Linked DNA regions of Oryctolagus cuniculus. The protein of the gene in region 2 purifies or fractionates together with the protein of the main gene of each other region. This does not show direct contact. Links are inferred from orthologs where the notes say so. Each region holds a gene or a part of one and is shown on either strand. Other genes may lie near its edges.

What was found. Proteins that work in one complex are often made in the same cells at the same time.
Region 1: the proteins of CD2BP2 (region 2) and DHX38 purify together in Homo sapiens (affinity purification with mass spectrometry; 3 studies listed by BioGRID and IntAct, counting the BioPlex papers as one, with this or other methods). This does not show direct contact. The link is inferred for Oryctolagus cuniculus from reciprocal best matches to the Homo sapiens genes CD2BP2 and DHX38.
Region 3: the proteins of CD2BP2 (region 2) and SART1 purify together in Homo sapiens (affinity purification with mass spectrometry; 4 studies listed by BioGRID and IntAct, with this or other methods). This does not show direct contact. The link is inferred for Oryctolagus cuniculus from reciprocal best matches to the Homo sapiens genes CD2BP2 and SART1.
Region 4: the proteins of CD2BP2 (region 2) and USP39 purify together in Homo sapiens (affinity purification with mass spectrometry; 5 studies listed by BioGRID and IntAct, with this or other methods). This does not show direct contact. The link is inferred for Oryctolagus cuniculus from reciprocal best matches to the Homo sapiens genes CD2BP2 and USP39.

What each region holds. Positions count from the first base shown.
Region 1 is NC_091449.1:55,169,538-55,174,037, reverse strand, and holds part of DHX38 (pre-mRNA-splicing factor ATP-dependent RNA helicase PRP16), read left to right. Parts: intron 1-28; coding exon 29-237; intron 238-339; coding exon 340-494; intron 495-838; coding exon 839-994; intron 995-1,088; coding exon 1,089-1,223; intron 1,224-1,421; coding exon 1,422-1,547; intron 1,548-2,031; coding exon 2,032-2,127; intron 2,128-3,369; coding exon 3,370-3,491; intron 3,492-4,500. UniProt on the Homo sapiens protein: Probable ATP-binding RNA helicase. Involved in pre-mRNA splicing as component of the spliceosome.
Region 2 is NC_091450.1:6,706,069-6,711,016, reverse strand, and holds CD2BP2 (CD2 antigen cytoplasmic tail-binding protein 2), read right to left. Parts: upstream 3,225-4,948; 5' UTR 3,095-3,224; exon of another isoform or gene 2,950-3,094; intron 2,839-2,949; exon of another isoform or gene 2,570-2,838; 5' UTR 2,544-2,569; coding exon 2,469-2,543; intron 2,306-2,468; coding exon 2,170-2,305; intron 2,064-2,169; coding exon 1,906-2,063; intron 1,784-1,905; coding exon 1,348-1,783; intron 1,262-1,347; coding exon 1,155-1,261; intron 1,066-1,154; coding exon 955-1,065; 3' UTR 738-954; downstream 1-737. Other genes in the region: sesquipedalian-1, read left to right, coding at 4,094-4,705. UniProt on the Homo sapiens protein: Involved in pre-mRNA splicing as component of the U5 snRNP complex that is involved in spliceosome assembly.
Region 3 is NC_091432.1:5,810,987-5,815,486, reverse strand, and holds the end of SART1 (U4/U6.U5 tri-snRNP-associated protein 1), read left to right. Parts: intron 1-1,403; coding exon 1,404-1,577; intron 1,578-1,664; coding exon 1,665-1,775; intron 1,776-1,863; coding exon 1,864-1,951; intron 1,952-2,326; coding exon 2,327-2,417; intron 2,418-2,526; coding exon 2,527-2,662; intron 2,663-2,909; coding exon 2,910-2,999; intron 3,000-3,083; coding exon 3,084-3,205; intron 3,206-3,374; coding exon 3,375-3,393; 3' UTR 3,394-3,459; downstream 3,460-4,500. UniProt on the Homo sapiens protein: Plays a role in mRNA splicing as a component of the U4/U6-U5 tri-snRNP, one of the building blocks of the spliceosome. May also bind to DNA.
Region 4 is NC_091433.1:117,034,966-117,039,465, reverse strand, and holds part of USP39 (ubiquitin carboxyl-terminal hydrolase 39), read left to right. Parts: intron 1-1,056; coding exon 1,057-1,151; intron 1,152-2,250; coding exon 2,251-2,387; intron 2,388-4,500.

The sequences.
Region 1 (4,500 bases), on a different chromosome or scaffold from region 2:
AGCGGAACCTGGGTCTTCTCCCTCGCAGGCTCTACACCCAGAGTGCCTACAAGAATGAGCTCCTGACCACCACTGTGCCTGAGATCCAGAGGACCAACCTGGCCAACGTGGTGCTGCTGCTCAAGTCCCTGGGGGTGCAGGACCTGCTGCAGTTCCACTTCATGGACCCGCCACCAGAGGACAACATGCTCAACTCCATGTATCAGCTCTGGATCCTCGGGGCCCTGGACAACACAGGTGTTGCAGCCCCAGGAGCTGGTGGGGCCTGGTGGGCACTGGTGCTGGCCTGAGGTGCTCCTCGTCTGCTGTCTCATTGAATCTGGGTGTGCTCCTCTCCAGGTGGTCTGACCTCCACCGGGCGACTGATGGTGGAGTTCCCGCTGGACCCAGCCCTGTCCAAGATGCTCATTGTGTCCTGTGACATGGGCTGCAGCTCCGAGATCCTGCTCATCGTCTCCATGCTCTCGGTTCCCGCCATCTTCTACAGGCCCAAGGTGGGGCATCCATGTTGTCTCCGCGGCCGGCCCTGTGAGGGTTAAGAGGGGAAGAGCTGCTCTCTGCATCATGAAATGGAGTGGAGAGGCAGGAATCAGCTTCCAGAGACTGAGTTTGCTGTCGGCCGTTAGCAAGGTGGGGGAAGGGAAAGATGGACTGGATCAGGGAGCCATGGGGAACTTCGCAAGAGCATCTTTTATCTTTCGTTTGCTTGTGCCTGAGCCCTCACGTCAGAGAGTAAATCTTTCATTGTAAATGATCTCCTCTCCCCTGTGTGGTTAGGGGTGTGCTGAGCAGGCTGGACGCCACCGTGCTCAGGGTAAAGTTCCTTTTCCCTTGCTAGGGCCGCGAGGAGGAGAGCGATCAGATCCGGGAGAAGTTCGCTGTCCCCGAGAGTGATCACTTGACCTACCTGAACGTTTACCTGCAGTGGAAGAACAACAATTACTCCACCATCTGGTGTAACGACCATTTCATCCACGCCAAGGCCATGCGGAAGGTGGGCGACTGCAACCCAGATGGCAGCATGTCAGGATAAGGGGTGGCGGGTGGGGCACGGAGGGTTCCATCTTGGCCTCCTCGTCATGCTGCAGGTCCGCGAGGTGAGGGCCCAACTCAAGGACATCATGGTGCAGCAGCGGATGAGCCTGGCTTCGTGTGGCACGGACTGGGACATTGTCAGGAAGTGCATCTGTGCGGCCTATTTTCATCAGGCAGCCAAGCTCAAGGTGAGCTCTGGCCGTCTGGTGGGACTGTGGCACCTTCTTGGCTGATACCTGGATGAGGACAAAGTTCTTCCTATCTCATGGTGCATTTCTGCAGGGCTGGGCTTCCTCCAAAGTCTGTGTGAGGATGGTGTTAAATGATGGGGCAGCTGCCCAATCAGGCCACTTGTTCCTGACATGGCCACCTGTTGTCTTTCCTAGGGAATCGGGGAGTATGTGAATATCCGCACGGGGATGCCCTGCCACCTGCATCCCACCAGCTCCCTCTTTGGAATGGGCTACACCCCAGACTACATAGTGTACCATGAGCTGGTCATGACCACCAAGGTGAGGCTTTTCCAAGGTGTTCCCATACACAGGCCTACCTACTGGGCCACGAACTTTGGGCTTAGGAGACTTGAGGCCTTGTGCATTGCTTTGCATCTGGGGTTGGTTTTCAGCTGGGATTTTGGGGAACTGTTTTTGGCTCATCTACAGATGAGCCTGTAGAATGCAGAGGCCTCAGTGGAGCCTGCAGGGTTGTTTCCTGTTTGCTGCTTGGGCTGGGCCACCCCTGTTGGTGTCATCAGAAGGGTTTGGCCCTTTCTCAGACACTACTGGGGGCGGGGAGTGGGGTGTGTGTTTTCTCAAGTGTGGAGGAATTTGGATGGGAAATGGGATTACAGTTCCACTGCTTGGGCCTTTCTCCTGCCTTTCTCAGCCCTGCAGGGCCAAGGCTGGGGCCTTTTTCGTATGGTTCCTCATTGTGGAACCTTCTAGGAGGGACACTGGCCCTCCCGTGACCTCCACTTTACTGCCCTTGTTTCTGCAGGAGTACATGCAGTGTGTGACGGCCGTGGATGGAGAGTGGCTGGCAGAGCTGGGCCCGATGTTCTACAGTGTAAAACAGGCAGGCAAGTCGAGACAGGTAAGACCCTGTGCTTGCCATGGAGGCACCGTTTGCCCATGGGGCTGACTGTCCCTCAGCTCGTCACCATCTGACCCCTTATTTCTCTCTCAAACCTGAAAACTGGGATCTGGCCAGCCTGGTCTGATTCCTTTAACCACCCAACTCCAGTGGCTCTGTTGGCTGAAAACAGTTTAAGAAGTTCATGTATTGAAATTACTGAAAAGTCCAAATAGTCATGCAAGTAGAAAAAAGCAGTGTAATGAGCCACCCTGGATTTGTCACCTTGCCCCCCTAATTGTCAGTCAGTCTTCACATGTTCTCACTCCCAGCCATATCTGCTTTAGTTTCCTGGAGTATCTTAAGGCTTCTCTCAGATGCCATGTTGTTTCTTACATAAATACTTGCGTGAGTCTCTGGCTGAAAGGACGTTATGACCCCCAACAAGATGCACCTTCAGTGTCACCTCTCTCTAGACCTTATTCAGATTACCCTTTTTTTCTGACTCACTTGGCTTGAATTAGGAACTGAACGTTGCCATTGGTTATGCATGTTCTCTCATTCTAGGACAGGCTCCACCCTGTCCTTTTTTTAAAAATGACATTGATTTATTGGAGTAATCAGGTCATTTATAGAATACTGATGTAATTGGTTGAGGGCTTCTTCATGGTGGTGTTTAACCTGTGCCTCTGTTGCATGTACTTTCTGTGACCTACTGTAACCTAAAGGCTTGGTAAGGTATGGTTCAGTGATGTCGGGCAAAGATGCATGCCCGTGGTGTTGTGAACTTCCTTTCAGAGGACATCCAGGGATGTCAGCCTAGTCCCTCCATTCTCAATTCTCTGCCACTCCATCTTGAGGTTGTCACGTCCACTGACGACTGCTGCTAGGATCCATCCTTAGGGTTGCCAAGTGCTGCGGGAATTTGTTTGTCCCTTCTAGCATGGGCTTCCCCACACTGGGCCTGCACGTTTCTTCAGTTCGTCCTTTCCTGCCAGGTGGTAATGTCTTCCTGACATTGTGAACTTGGTGAAAAACTAAGTTCTTAAGTGAATTGAGGCATGACTGGTTAGACAGAATCATCCAGCACCTGGAATGGATCTGTGAAAACAGCAGATCTCAGCTGCGGGCAGGAGCCGAGTGGCCACTTCCTCTAGAGCTGGCGTGGTCATCGTAGCACCTGTTCACGGCAGAAACATGAGTGCAGACAAGGTCTCCTGGTGGTCCCTGGTGGACTCAGCCACTCCCATCCCCCTTGTCTAGGAGAATCGCCGTCGGGCCAAAGAAGAAGTCTCTGCCATGGAGGAGGAGATGGCCCTGGCTGAGGAGCAGCTGCGAGCCCGGCGGCAGGAGCAGGAGAAGCGCAGCCCCTTGGGCAGTATGAGGTGAGCTCTTGCCCCTGGGAGGCCGCCGGCCACCAGGCCCTGATGTAAGAGAAGGTGACTGGGTAAAGGTGACCTGTCAAAGTGACTTCTGCGTGGGGTAGTCACACGTGGAAGCACGGGAGGCGTTCCAGACAGTTTGAAAGGCTTGGTTTGACTTCTGCAGCTGCAGCTGTCCTGTGCTGAGGCCCTGTGGGCGGGGTGGCAGGGCGGGTCCTGCCGTCTTCCTGACAAAGCCGTGGGGTTGGAAAGCTTCCCTCATTCTTGCCTGGCCTTTCACACCTCTCAAGTGAACAGGGGGGTAGAGAGCTGGCTTTCTGCCTCTGTGCTGACCCCAGAGTTAGGCCAGACTTGGCAGGGTCAGGGTACAGTCCTCCGCAAGACAGCTCTCACTTCCAATACCAGTTGCCAGTTGGGAGGCAGCTCTTACTTTGGACCAACTTGCTACAAATTTGTGAATCCCGATGGATTCCCTTAGATTTAATAATTTGCTAGAAGGATTCAGAGACCTGAGGAAAGCACTCTACGGACCATTAGTTTTAGTGTAGCAAAAGGGTACAAGTCAGAATGAGCTCAGGGAGAGCTGCGTGGAGCAGGTGAGAGAGGGCTCCCGCGGAGTCGCTTTCTGTGTCAGCAGGGCTCGGGTGCCTTCTCACACATCGGCCTTTAACAGTACCCACTGGGCGAGGCCAGTCGGGGAAGGTCACTTGGGTGTCAGCATCCAGAGTATTTACTGGGGTTTTGTTACATAAGCATGAATGACTGGATCATTGTCAAGTGGTTGAACGTGGTCTCCAGCTCCTAAGAGGTCAGGCTGTTACCACATGGCTCAGAGCCCCAACTCTGACACTTGGTTGGTCTTTCTGGCCAGGCTGGCCTGTCTTGACTCATCTTGTTAGCATAGACTGTTAGGGATCCCCCCGCGAGTCATCTCATCAGCATTCACTATTAGATGTGGTCTGAGGGTCTCCCAAGAATGACGACATACCTCCCTGGAACTCTGGACAGAAGC
Region 2 (4,948 bases):
CCCACGTGGGAGACCCAGAAGAAGCTCCTGGCTCCAGATCGGCTCAGTTCCAGCCATTGTGGCTATTAGGGGAGTGAAACAGCGGATGGAAAACCCCTCCCTCCCTGTCTGTCTGTAACTCTGCCTCTCAAATAAATAAACCTTAAAAAAAAAGGGGGGGGGGGGGGCAGCGCTGTGGCACAGCAGGTTAATGCCCTGGCCTGAAGCGCCAGCATCCCATATGGGTGCTGGTTCTAGTCCCAGCTGCTCCACTTCCAATCTAGCTCTCTGCTATGGCCTGGGAAAGAAGTAGAAGATGGCCCAAGTCCCTGGGCCCCTGCACCCACGTGGGAGACCCGGAAGAAGCTCCTGGCTCCTGGCTTTGGATTGGCTCAGCTCCAGCCGTTGCAGCCAACTGGGGAGTGAACCAGCGGATGGAAGACCTCTCTCTGTGTAATTCTGACTTTCAAATAAATAAATAAATCTTTTTTAAAAAAATTAAAAAAAAGAGAATTCCTGCTCATCCTTGGTCTTCGAGACGTCCCACTAACACCTGCAATTCCTGGGCCCGGGGCTCAGGTCCCCAGCGGCTGTGAGGACAGAGGAGGCGAGGTCAGCACAGCGAGAAGCCCGCGCAGGCGCAGATCAGGGCGGGGCCCACACAGGACACCTGCCAGTCAGGGAGGCGGGAAACGAAGGTGAGGAGGGTTCAAGGCACCGGGGAGAGACCACGGCAGAGGAAAAAGCGTACAAACACATAACAGTCTGAAGGGCTGTGGAGACGGCCCCCGGCTCCTGGCCGTCAGCACAGCCGAGGCCCTCGCACACCACTAAAGGCATTTTATTGGGAAAAACAGAAATTGAAAAGTAGCCTCCAATCTTCTCCCTGCCCAAGGCAGCTGGGGGCCGGCTCCCCCAAAGTCCAGCAGAGAACGGGGGAGGTGGGGGGGGCGCCCAACTGGGCCCTCCGCAGGCTCAGGTGTAGAGGTCGAAGTCGATGCGTTTGGAGTTGTAGAACTGACCACCCGGGGGATCCAGCTTCCGGCAGTAGACTCCGTCTGGGAAGTAGCCTTCGCTCACCCAGGTCTGCAGGTAGACAGGGCGGGGCTGACACGGCGGGGCGGGGCGGGCCGGGGGTGGGGCGGGGCGTGCGGGGGAGGGGGGGGGGCGCTCACCTGCATCTGGGCACTGGTGAAGGGTCCGTAGAGCTCGGCCTCCCCGGTGTTCTCCCACTTATATTCCCACATCACGTCCACCAGGCCGTCGCCCGCCGACTCTGCCTCTGCAACCAGAGGCGGAGCCGATTGGAGCTCCACTGCCCGGCCTCCAGTCCACACCGCTGCCCCTCCTCTGCCCTCCAAAGCTCACCTTCTCTCTGGGGAGGGGTCGGGGTCTCCAGCTCCCCCTCAGCCACCTCCTCCGCAAACATGTCCAGGGAGGGCGGGGGCGTGGAATCCTGGGCCCCCTGGGTCCGACACCCCAACCCCTTCAGCCGCATGGCCAGGCGCTCTCGAGTTTCCTGGTAAACGCCAAGGTTGCCCCGGGCCACCATCTGGTCAGCCAACCCAGACAGCCGGTCCAGGCGCTGGGGGGAACTGGGCCGCCCGGGCCCCTTGCTGTTCCCTTTGCCCCCTCCTCGGGCCCCCAGCCGCCTCAGTGCCCCGGCCACTGTCTCCCTGGGCAGCAGCAGCTCTAGAAGTCCCTCGAGGAGGGCTTGGGCGCTCAGTGGTGTCTGGCCCAGGCTGTCCTCCTCCTCCGAGTCTGAAGCCCGGCGCTGATCCGGGGGCCGCTCCCTGATCTTCACCTAGAATGCAAGAAAGGGGTCAGGGTCGGGGGCTGCAGGGGGTTGTTTCCTACAAACCTGCTCCAGGAGCCCAGATCCAGCCCCCCCACCCCACCCCAGCCGTGCTGAGCCCTGGGCCGCACCCAATCAATATTGTCCAGCCAGCTGTCCTGGATTTGAGCGTCCCGGTTCAGGAAGTAGTTGCCATCGGCATCAAAGTGGCCTTCCTCCATCTCCTCCTGCAGGTTGAAGGGAGTGATGCGCACCCCTCCCTCACTGGGGAGCGTGGCTGCTTCCTGACCTGCATCAGAGACAGAGTCGCCCCATGCGAGGCATGCAAAAAAAAGAGAGAGACAGGAACCTCCCTCCCTCAAGTCCCCACTCGTCCCTCCCTGGGTGCTACTCACCTTCCACATCCTCTGAGGCCAGGATGTCATACTTGCTGGACCCCTCGTCGTCATCATCCTCTTCATCGCTGTCCAAGGAGTGCTTGCCTTTGAAGCGGCTCCCGGGACCCCCGGGCCCAGTCACGGGGTCCACCAGCTGAGAGCAGGAAGGGAGAAATGCAGAATTCTCAGCTCCTCCCAGACTCCAGCATCTGCACCCAAGCTGAGCACCCTCCAAACCCAGTCCTGGGGGACCTGCCCTCCTCTTCAGGCTCCGCTCTGCCTCCCCTCCCCCCAACAAAACGGTCTGGCCCCCTCACCTTCTTCCTGGGAACACTGACTTCATCCTCATCCTCGTCTCCCACGCCTTGGAAGGTCACTTTCCGCTTTGGCATGACGGGCCAGGGGGGCTTCCCTTAACCTGATGGGGGAAAAGTTGCAGAGGAAGCGGCCTGAGCGGGAGGCCACCCACTGCAAGAGAACCCTGGCCACAGGACACGCTTCCTGGTGCGTGCCAGGTCCATTGGGAGGGAAGAGCACAGAGAATCGGGGGCCAGAGCGGGAGCTGCAGCCCGGAGGCTCCCACGGCCTCGGCTCGCCATCCCAGAGCTAACGGAGCTGGGACGCCAGGCCAGACGCGGGGAGTATCCCCACCCCGACGACAGGGGCCCGGCTCCCCCACGTGACCACGCCCATATCCGGCCTCCGCAGTCTGAGCGCTACCGGGCTCGGCGGGCACACACACCCGCTCCCGCAACCCCAAAGCCCTCGGAGCCCGCGGGGCCCGGGCCGACCCAGGACCTGGCGCTCCCGGCCGCTCTGCTCCTCCTCCTCGCGCCGAACTCCCAATTCCACGTGGTTGACCCCCCAACTGTCCCGGGGTGTGTACAGATTAGAGGGCGGCACAGCCACGGGGACTCCGGCAGCCAGCCCCGCGCGCGCTCACCTGGGGATCTAGGGGAGGCAGGGGAAGAAAAGGAGAGATGCTTTCACCAGGGCTGTATCCGGGGCACCTGGCCGCCATCACCCGGAAGCGTACGGCGGAGGCCGGAAGTGGCTTCACTCCACTTGAAGGACTAACAGGAAGAGCGGGCGGAAGTAGGTAGTGAGCTAGGCGGCAACCTCCAACCCTGTCCCCCGCCAGGAGTGACGTGAGCCGCGCGGGTCTGCAGCGGCGAGGAGTGTGCGGGCGCCTAGACCCTGATCGGCGCGGAGGATGCCCCGAAGTGGCTTCGATGCCCTCACGCAGCCTCTGGGGGATGCAACTCCACTTAGAGGGGAGCCCAGGGTCAGGATGGAGGGGCAGAGGAGGAGCAGAGCCGATGGGTTCCAGCCCCAGGTGCCCCTTCCGGGGTTCGCACCACCGTTTCCCGCAGACTGGCCAAGTGCCTTACACTTGTCAGAGCTGCGCCCTCTCCTAGCGTGAGGCGCGGCCCTGCTCTTCTCCCTAAGGGAAGCCAGGCTCACCTGATGGCCTCTGAGGGCACTTGGGACACTTTCAGAACCCAGCCGCCTTTAGGACCCAGGGGAAATCACGTGCTCCACGCCTGTCCGCGGAGCCAGTTCCTGATTTCTGAGGCGGGGCAGCCACTGCTGCAGAGGTGGCATTGTCGCGGGTGCCCTGTGGCCAGCCCAGAAGCCCCTGTGCCTGCTCTCAGGTAGGCCTAGGAAAGGGCAATGGTCCCTCCGGCACCACAGCGGTGGGATGAAGCCCCCGCCCCCTTAGCAATCAGGGCCCAGCGACCCTGCCTAGGTGATGGGATTTGAGGCGGGGAGGTGGGCGGGCCTGGCCCTGGGTGGTGGGACAAGACAGCTAACGCCCAAGGGTGTGCAGGCCAAGACTGTGCCCAGGCAGAGCCTGCTGGAGCTAGGAGGGCGTGAGCATCCTCCCAGGCAACCAGGGGACCACTCCTCTCTCCCCCAGGGTCCCTCCAGGGCCACCACCATGAAACTGCACCGCAAGTCTGTGCTCAGTTTCTTCCAAGGCTGCAGAGCCCAGGCCCCAGACCAGGAGGGCATCTTGCTGAAGAAGGGGGCCCGAAACAGCAGCTACCAGCGCCGCTGGTTTGTCCTCCGTGGAAACCTCCTCTTCTACCTGGAACACCAGGAAGCCCACACTCCCCTGGGCCTCATCCTGTTGGAGAGCTGCCGGGTGGAGCCTCGCCTTAAGGCCGCAGAGCCCTTCGCCTTCACCATCGTGACCCCCGGGGGAGAGGGCACAGGGGGGCGGGCCTACAAGCTGGCCGCAGAAAGCCAGGAGGAGCTGAGGGCTTGGCTGTGGGCGCTGGCCGGGGTGAGCTGGAGGCGGCTGGCTAGGCTGCTTCCCCCCATGGAGGCCCAGTACCGGGAGCTCTGCCAGGCGGCTGGCCAAGAACCCAGGTGCCCCGCCGAGGACTGTGGCTTTCTAGCCATCCTCGGGCCCCACTCCAGCTTCCAGGAGCTGCACGAGCGCTTTGGGAAGGAGATCCGGGTGCTGCTGGCAGTGCACAGAGGACTCCGGGAAGCCAGGTCCCAGGCAAAGCTGGAGCAGCTCAACCAGTGTTTGTCGAGTGACTGAGAGGCAGACCAAAGGCCAGGGAGTACCCGTCTGCAGAGATCACCGGAGACCCAGGCCCTGGCTCCTTCCCACCCTGCACCCTAATCCCGGCCCCAAACCCCTTCATCAAATAACACGGCAGGAGACGGCCCAGGGACAACAGCAGGTTCTTTTCCGGTTCCTCAAAGCGCCACAAGGGGTGGGGGCAGAGACAGAAGAAAAATGTAAACATTGGGTTCCACCCCCTGAAGGCCAAGGGAAGAC
Region 3 (4,500 bases), on a different chromosome or scaffold from region 2:
TCTCCAAGAACTTGGGGCTGGGCCAGGCCGAGGCCCGCAGTCAGGAACTCAGTGGGGCTCCCGTGGGGGCAGGGGAGGCCGCTGCCTCCCAGGGCGCAGTCGGCAGGAAGCTGGAGTCGGGCAGAGCCAGGACTCGGCCCCCGGTGCCCCAGTGTGGGGGTGGGCATCCCAGGCAGCATGGGAACTGTCAGGCCAGTGTCCGTGGTGGCCCTGGGTGGCGCAGTCCTCGTCCTCTGCTGCCCCGCCTCCTCGCCAGTCCCAAGCCCTGAGCCGTCCGCCCTTCCCCGTGCAGGGCGGCCCCGGGCACCTGTCCCTGCGGCTTTGCCTTCAGGGCTCTCCCCAAATGACTGCAGCGGCCCAGAGCAAAGCCGGAACCCAGAACTCCATCCGGGCTCGCCGTGGGCGGCTGGGGTGCGAGTACTGGCGCCTGCTCTGCCCTCGGGCACATTGGCAGGGGCTGGCGCAGCAGCAGAGCGGCCAGCGTTCTCACAGCTCTCGGATCCAGGCCGCCGGGCCACGGGGCAGTGCGCGACGCTGGCCCCGTTTTATTATTGAAAAGCTGTGCATGTGTTAGATGTGCCCTTTCATGTTCATGGTGTTCATTAAAAAGTAAACGTAGTGAGAGTGAAGGGGCCGGCACTGCGGTGTAGCGGGTAAGGCCGCCGCCTGCAGTGCCGGCATCCCAAATGGGCGCTGGTTCGAGTCCTGGCTGCTCCACTTCCCATCCAGCTCCCTGCTGTGGCCTGGGAAAGGCTCCTGGCTTCAGATCCGCGCAGCTCCGGCTGTTGCGGCCACCTGGGGGGTGAACCAGCGGATGGAAGACCTCTCTGCCTCTGCCTCTGTGGCTCTTTCAGATAAATAAATAGGTCTTTGTGGGGGGGAAGTGAAAGGAAGGGGGTGCAAAAGTGGATGTAGTGTCTAGAAGCTTCTCCGAGGAGTTTGTGGTCACGGGAGCTGGGGGTTTAGAGAGGGGAGACCCTAGGGGTCCTCCCTCGTGTGTGTGCGGCCGAGCATCTGCCGTGCCAGGAGGGGGGCAGAAGGTGTGGTGCCCAGGGTGGGAGCAAGAGGCCAGACTGGGAGTCGTGAGTGGCAGGATGGCCGCCGTGCGCCCCGGGGGGGGGGGGGCTCTGGAGGAGGGGCTGTGGGAGTTCGTCAGGGGAGGGGCGTGCAGGATCCTGGATTAGTTCAGCGTAGGCGGCCACGGAGGGCTGTGGCGCAGAGCAGCGGCCCGGTGCACAGGTGGACGGGAGGAGGTGCACAGGTGGACGGGAGGAGCGGCCAGTTGGAGGCGTGTGCGTGGTGGGAGTGGCCTGCTGCCATGAGGGCGGGCCTGTGGGTCCCTTGGTCTCTATGGCGTCACCCCAGGACCTTCTGGGTTTGCCCACAGCCGCTCCCTCCCCCAGGTGGTGGAGATCGTGAGGAAGCTGGAGTCTCGGCAGCGGGGCTGGGAGGAGGACGAGGACCCCGAGCGCAAGGGCGCCATCGTGTTCAACGCCACCTCCGAGTTCTGCCGCACCCTGGGCGAGATCCCCACCTACGGGCTGGCCGGCAACCGCGAGGAGCAGGAGGAGCTCATGGTGCGCCCGGGCCTGCTCTGTCCCCGGGAGGGGGCGGCCGGCGGGGCGGGGCGGGGCTGCCCGGCTGACCTGCACTTCCGGCCCCAGGACTTTGAGCGAGACGAGGAGCGCTCAGCTCACGGCGGCTCCGAATCCGACGGGGAGGAGAACATTGGCTGGAGCACGGTCAACCTGGACGAGGAGAAGCAGCAGCAGGACGTGAGGGCGCTGCCGGGGAGGGCGGGGCCCTGGGCTGGGAGGGGTAGGGGCCCGGTGCTCCGCTCACCCCCACCCCGTGCTCCCCCAGTTCTCTGCCTCCTCCACCACCATCCTGGACGAGGAGCCCATCGTCAACAGAGGCCTGGCCGCTGCCCTGCTCCTGTGTCAGAACAAAGGTGGGCCCCGGAGCTGGGGGGTGGGGCTGGGAGGCCCTGGGTGGCGCGGTCCTGTCCTCTGCTGCCCCCCCCCCCCGCCGCCGCCTCCTCGCCAGTCCCAAGCCCTGAGCCGTCGCCCTTCCCCATGCAGGGCGGCCCCGGGCACCCGTCCCTGCGGCTTTGCCTTCAGGGCTCTGTCTGGGAGGAACGGGGGCGGGGAAACGGCGGTGGCTTTGGCTTGGACACGGGTCAGCACCCAGGTGGCCGGTGGCCCTGGCACGGGGCTGTTTTCAGTTCTGTCTGTAAAGCGGGCCTGACGCCCTGACCCCCCCCGGCGCCGGCTCCCCCAGCTGCCCCGAGGCTGCCCGTCCAGAGCCTCACGGCCTCTGTCCGCAGGGCTGCTGGAGACCACGGTGCAGAAGGTGGCGCGGGTGAAAGCACCCAACAAGTCCCTGCCCTCGGCCGTGTACTGCATCGAGGACAAGATGTGAGCGGGCGGGCGCGGGGGCGGCGGCCGCGGGCGGGCGCGGGGGCGGCGGGTGGGCTGCGGGGGGCGGCGGGGGCTCACGCCGAGGCCCCGCCCCCGCCGCGCGCAGGGCCATCGATGACAAGTACAGCCGGCGGGAGGAGTACCGGGGCTTCACCCAGGACTTCAAGGAGAAGGACGGCTACAAGCCAGACGTGAAGATCGAGTACGTGGACGAGACGGGCCGGAAGCTCACGCCCAAGGAGGTGAGCGGGGCCCTGGCCCACGGGGTGGGGGTGACCCAGTGAGCTGTCGGGACCTCTGCCTTCCGTGGGCAGCGCTGGGTCCCTGCACCTGTTCGGCCCCACGCCCCCCCCCCACACCCCGCCTGGGTCCCCACGATGCCGGGGCCTCGCCCACCCCCTCCACAGCCTCAGCCCAGCGCGGGGTGGCCCTGTGCCTGTGGAGGCGCGCCAGGCCCCTGCAGCTGCCCGCCACGCCCTGTGTCCCCAGGCTTTCCGGCAGCTGTCCCACCGCTTCCACGGGAAGGGCTCGGGCAAGATGAAGACGGAGCGGCGGATGAAGAAGCTGGACGAGGAGGCGGTGGGTGCAGGGTGAGGGCGGGCGGCGGGCGGGCGGCGGGCGGGCCCCGCCCCGGGCCGCGCGCTGACCTCGGCCGGCCCACAGCTCCTGAAGAAGATGAGCTCCAGCGACACGCCGCTCGGCACCGTGGCGCTGCTGCAGGAGAAGCAGAAGGCCCAGAAGACGCCCTACATCGTGCTCAGCGGCAGCGGCAAGAGCATGAACGCGTGAGTGGGGCTGGGGGGCGGGGCCGGAGGGGCAGAGGGGGCGGGGCCGGAGGGTGGGGCCTGGGCAGGAGGGCGGGCGGGGCCAGGGCCGGAGGGTGGGGCCGGGGCGGGGCCGGAGGGCGGGGCCGGGGCACCTGCCCCTCTGCTGACGCGCTCGTTTCTCTCGCAGGAACACCATCACCAAGTGAGGCCGGCCTCCCCCCCCCACCCCCCCACCCCCCCCCGTAGTAAATAAAGCTCCCTCCTTATTTTTCCTCCCTGGTCGTGGTGAAGGTTCCAGGGCTCCGCTGGGCGGGGGGTGGGCCGGGCCGACCCCAGGGCGCAGTGTGAATTCCCCGAGCCCCTCCGCGCCCTACCGTGCAAGTGGGGGCTCCATGGACTCCCGCGTTTGTTCACGCATTCACGCGTGCACCTGGAAGCGAATGGGGCAGGTCCCCGGACCCCTGGGGTATGCAGTCTGGCCTCTGCCAGGGAGACCCGGCGGTCGGCGGACGCCAGTGTGAGAGCGAGAGAAGGGCGGGATCCCTGCTGGGCTCCTCCCCGCGGGGCCAGCCCGCCTTGGGGGTCCTGGCGCCCCCGGCCCTGCAGGGCCAGCTTTCTGCTACGGGGGGAGGGTGTTTTCAGACTTGGTGCCCCTGGCCTCCCAGGCTGCACAGGCACCGCCCAGTCACCCTGACCCGTGTCCACAGGGCAGCCCAGGGACTGGGCTCTGCGGGGCGGAGGGGCTTCCTCCCCCGCGGGGGTGTCCACCCACGGTGACTCCGCGAAGGGGTTCCTTGGAGCCCGGAGTCCACGGGCAGGTGACGGCGCAGACGCCCGTCACGGCCCTGGTGGTTCACCGCTCCCCGTTAGCACAGGCAGCCGGATTTGAACACGTAACATGTCGTCTCGGGATGGGAAGATCTGAGGACCAAGTGCGCGTCCCTGACAATGACGACTGGGACCGGGGCCCACTCTGCGGCCAGGTCGCCACTCGCACTCCCGGTCCCCACTCAGGCCTGCTGCTGCTTTTCCCGCCAGACCCTCCCTCGGTCTCGGGCCTGGCACCTGCTGGGTGTGCGTGGTGTCCAGCCGCGTCTCCAGCTGGGGAATTCGGTGTTGGGGACGGGCAGTCCTGGTGACCCTGGTGTGGCGATGGGCCCTGGCTGAGAAAGCCGAGGCCTGCCCTACAGCTGTGGTGGGCCCAGCAGACCACTAATGCCGAGGAAGCAAAGGGACTTCAGACACCTTCAGAGGCCCCCTCCAGGAAGCCCCCCCGGGCTGCCAGTGTCTGCTGCTTTCCACCTCCTGAGCCC
Region 4 (4,500 bases), on a different chromosome or scaffold from region 2:
GTTGTAGAAACGTCAGAGAGCATGTTGTTTAAGGGTGGGCATATGCATGAAGAGCTCTTAGCTCATGTTGAGTTTGTGTGTTGTAATAATTTGTAGTAGCAAATTTAAGTATTTATTGAGTACCGATTACATACGCGGTACTTTTCTGGGTGCCTAGGACTCAGTAGGAAGATAACAAAAATTTTCTTGAAAGCAGAAATAGTCACCTCGTTATGCTATTTTTTTCACTGAGTCGGAGGTGGCATGTTGGATACCTTCCAGCCTGTGTCCCAGGGTAGCACTGCCTACAGAGCTTTGAGCAGTAATGGAATTGCCCTTGGGAAGGACTGTCCAGCAAGGAAAGCTTGAGCAACATACGCCTATTGGGTACTTGAAATGTGGCTTCTATACCATACAACTGAAGAATTGAATTTCAGATTTCATTTAATTTTAGTTACCTAAAGTTTAATTATCCATAGCCACGTGTTGCTAGTGACCCCTGTATTAGGTAGTGCAGTTCTGTGGGATCATAGTCGGTAAGAGTTAATACGTCAGCAGTGCTCCTTTTGCTATCCATGGATTCCGTGGAGGTAGTTTTTTATTCTTCATTACCCAGTACTCACATACTATTACCTTGCACTTGAATAAATGGACCTGTTTGTAGTTGTTCTCCTAAAAGTCTTTAGACTTGCCATTTATTTTTATGGGCAAAATTCCATTTTTCTCTTATAAAAGGGTTTATTCACTCTGTTCATGTCCTCTCATCCACAGAATACTCTTGGGCCCTGCTACTTTAGTTTTAGTTCTGCTGTAGCTTTCCCTCCAGAGAAAGTGGCTGGTTACAAATACTAGTAAGAAAGAAGGTCATGGGCATTGTGTGTTGTGGAGACCCCTGATGCTGCTCGGGGCACTGTGGTGGAGGTGGGGAACACTAGTGTTCATGGCCGCCAAGCCGTTCTCCGAATGATGCTGTGTAACACTGTGGGATGTAGAGGCAAGGCTGGGTCATTTGGATGCTCTCCCAGGTGTCCAGTCCTAATCATTTTTATTTTTTCTATTCTGTTTTGGTTTTTATAGGAGTGTGCTAGACTTTGACTTTGAGAAACTGTGTTCCATCTCCCTGTCGCATATCAACGCGTATGCCTGTTTGGTGTGTGGCAAGTACTTTCAGGGTAAATAAACGTTATAAATTATAAAATTGTTAAGTTTTCAGAGCCAATTGCAGGTGTATTCCAGTGAGCTTTGTTGTTGCTTTGAAATAAAGTAAACTACTTTCAGGAGTCCTGTGTAAGATTTCCTATCTTTATTCCTAGGAAGTTGGAGTACTTTTAGAATACCAGTAGGAAGTTTTGCAGTCAAAATCTGAATATATGTGAAAGGAAGAAAGAATGAGTTGTATGAAAGATTATGATCTCAAAGACTCTGGGTTTCTGAATCTCTACTGTTTTCTACACGTGTATCTTTTTGGAGAAGGCTTTTGTTCTAAGGACTTTTTTTTTATTTTTTTATTTCCACTCATTCATACCAGTGCTGTATACATGGTATTGGGAAGAATTCAAAAGAGATACAAACTACATTCTTTACTTTAGAGATACAAACTACATTTTTTGCTTTTATAAAGAGTCAAAGTTGACTCATGAAACAATCATTGAGTGCTACAAGACAATAAAGATTACTGTTAGACTGTGTCACAGTAAAAATAAGGACAGTAGGAACTATGCAAAAATCAGTGTTAGCTGGAAGGTTATCTTGAGTTCATGGAGGAGGTAAGGTGGGACTTGAACTAGCAAGACATGGAGGATTTGAATGGGTGGAGAGGGGGAGAGTCCAGGAGTTCCAGACTGAGTGAGGGTACATGGGTGCAGGATTGGCCTGACACAGACAGTAGGAGACTCAGGACTCAGTAATGTTGGACTGTCACAGGATACGTCCGTGTGCCCGTGTGTATGTGCATGTACACATGAGCTATTCCTGACTTGTGGCCTGTATGAAACTAACTCATATATCACATGCATTTTCATTTTGAAATGGGTTTCCTTAGCTAATGTCTTACGCTGTGTAGGGAATGAAGTGAACTACTGTGCTATTCTTTCTTGCTAATTTTTGTGATGAGAGACGTTCATGTGGGAGAGTCATTTCATGAATGGCAGAGTGCTTTGTTTTTGCTGACTGTAACGTGTTCTAGTGCAAGGTGACGAAAGGGAAAGCAAACCTGATCTGTGCCCCTCCAGGACGTGCCCTTGTCTCACAGCCTTTTACCCTTCCCTACAGGCCGGGGTTTGAAGTCTCATGCTTACATTCACAGCGTCCAGTTCAGCCATCATGTCTTCCTCAACCTCCACACCCTCAAGTTTTACTGCCTCCCAGACAACTACGAGATCATTGACTCCTCGCTGGAGGACATCACGGTGTGTCCAAGAGGGCTGGTTTGGTGCTGATTGATGGGGGAGCTTTCACAGGGCTCTCTGGGAACTATGTCACCCATGGTGAGGGGAAGAACCCTCAGTCTCTTGGCCTTAATAGGCTTCTTTTTGGGAAGAACCAAGGAAAGCGAGTAACATCAGAATTCATAATTGTGGTCTGTGGTTTGTGACCTGAATGTCATTTTCTGTCTTAACGGTGAGGGCCAGGACTGAAGAAATATGGTTCCATTTTTTTTTTTTTACAGATTTGTTTTACATTAAACATTTTTTTATTTTACTTTTTCGAAAGGCAGAGTTAGAGACAGAGAGATCTTCCATCTGCTGGTTCACTCCCAAAATGGCTGCAACAGCCAGATCTGGGCCAGAACAAAGCCAGGAGCCAAAAGCTTCTTCCGGATCTCCCACATGGATACAAGGGCCCAAGCACTTGGGCCATCTTCTGCTTTCCCAGGAACATTAGCAGGGAGCTGGATCAGATGTGAGCAGCCATACGGGATGCCAGTGTCACAGGTGGAAGCTTTATCCATTGTGCCACAATGCTGGGCCTGTGGCTACTTTGTAATAGGAGTTAGTACTTTTGTTGTTTGGAGGATTTTAAAAATTTTGTCATTTTAATTTTGTTTGAAAGAGAGATGCACAGAGTCAGAGTTTTTCCATCCACTGGTTCATCCTTCAAATGCTACAACAGCTGGGTCTGGGCCATTTTGAAGTCAGGAGCCTGGAACTCAATCCAGGTCTCCCATATGAGTGGCAGGGGCCCAAGTGCTGCCTCTTGGTGTGCATTAGCAGGAAGCTAGATTGAAGTGAAGGAACTTGGAATTGAGCCAGGCTCTCCACTATGGGTGTAGGCATCCCAGATGGCAACTTAACCACTGTGCCAAACATCTGCCCCATAAAGTGCTTTTGTGAAATAAATTATCCTTCCATATTTTAGAGTGGAGATATGAATTGAGCCTGGCATAGACAGTGGATATCAAGCTGCATAACAATTTCTGGCTCCTTTTCATCCATGATGTGGCGTGTCCCATCTGGGAGCTCCAATTTGAGACCTGTGCCAAGGGATCTTGTTCTTTTTTTCTTTTCTTTTCTTTTTTTTTTTTTTTAGGTTTTTCTTTTTCTTTTTTATTTATTTGAGAGGTAGAGTTACAGACAGTGAGAAGGAGAGACAGAAAGGTCTTCCTTCCGTTGGTTCACTCCCCAAATGGCTACAACACCCAGAGCTGCGCTGATCCGAAGCCAGGAGCCTGGTGCTTCTTCCCAGTCTCCCATGCGGGTGCAGGGGCCCAAGGACTTGGGCCATCTTCTACTGCCTTCCCAGGCCACAACAGAGAGCTGGATTGGAAGAGGAGCAGCTGGGACTAGAACCAGCACCCATATGGGATGCCGGTGCCACAGGCGGAGGATTAACCTGTGCCACAGAGCTGGCTCTGGGATCTTGTTCTTAAGTGGAGAGAGTGAAAAGTCTTTGTTGTAGGCCTCAGTTAGTTTTGGACTGTTGATTATTTTCCTTCTTAGCAAGTGGTACATATTTTTAATTTTTTTGGGAAGATTTATTTATTTGAAAAGCAGAGTTACAGAAAGAGGGAGAGATAGATCTTCCATACACTGGTTCACTCTGCAAATGGCCACAGTGGCCTGAGCTGGGCCAATCTGAAGCCAGGAACTGGGAGCTTCTTGTGGTTCTCCTATGTGGGTGCAGGGGCCCAAGCACTTGGGCCATCTTCTACTGCTTTCCCAGGTGCATTAGCAGGGAGCTGGATTGGAAGGGGAGTGGCTGAGACTCAAACCAACACCCATATGGGATGCCAGCACTGCAGGCGGTGGCTGTACCCACTGCACCCTGTACTGGCACCAGTGTTTGTTTATTTCATCTACTTGAAAGGCAGAGAGATCTTCCATCTACACTGGTTCACTCTCCAAATGCCCACAACAGCCACAGGTGGGCCAGGCCAAAGCCAGGAGCCTGGAACTCTATTCAGGTCTCCTTTGTGGGTGCCTGGGCCCCAAGCACTTCAGCCATAATCCACTGCCTCACGGGATTTATTAACCGGAAGCTGAATCAGAAGTGGAGCAGTCAGACCCTTACTGGCACTCACAT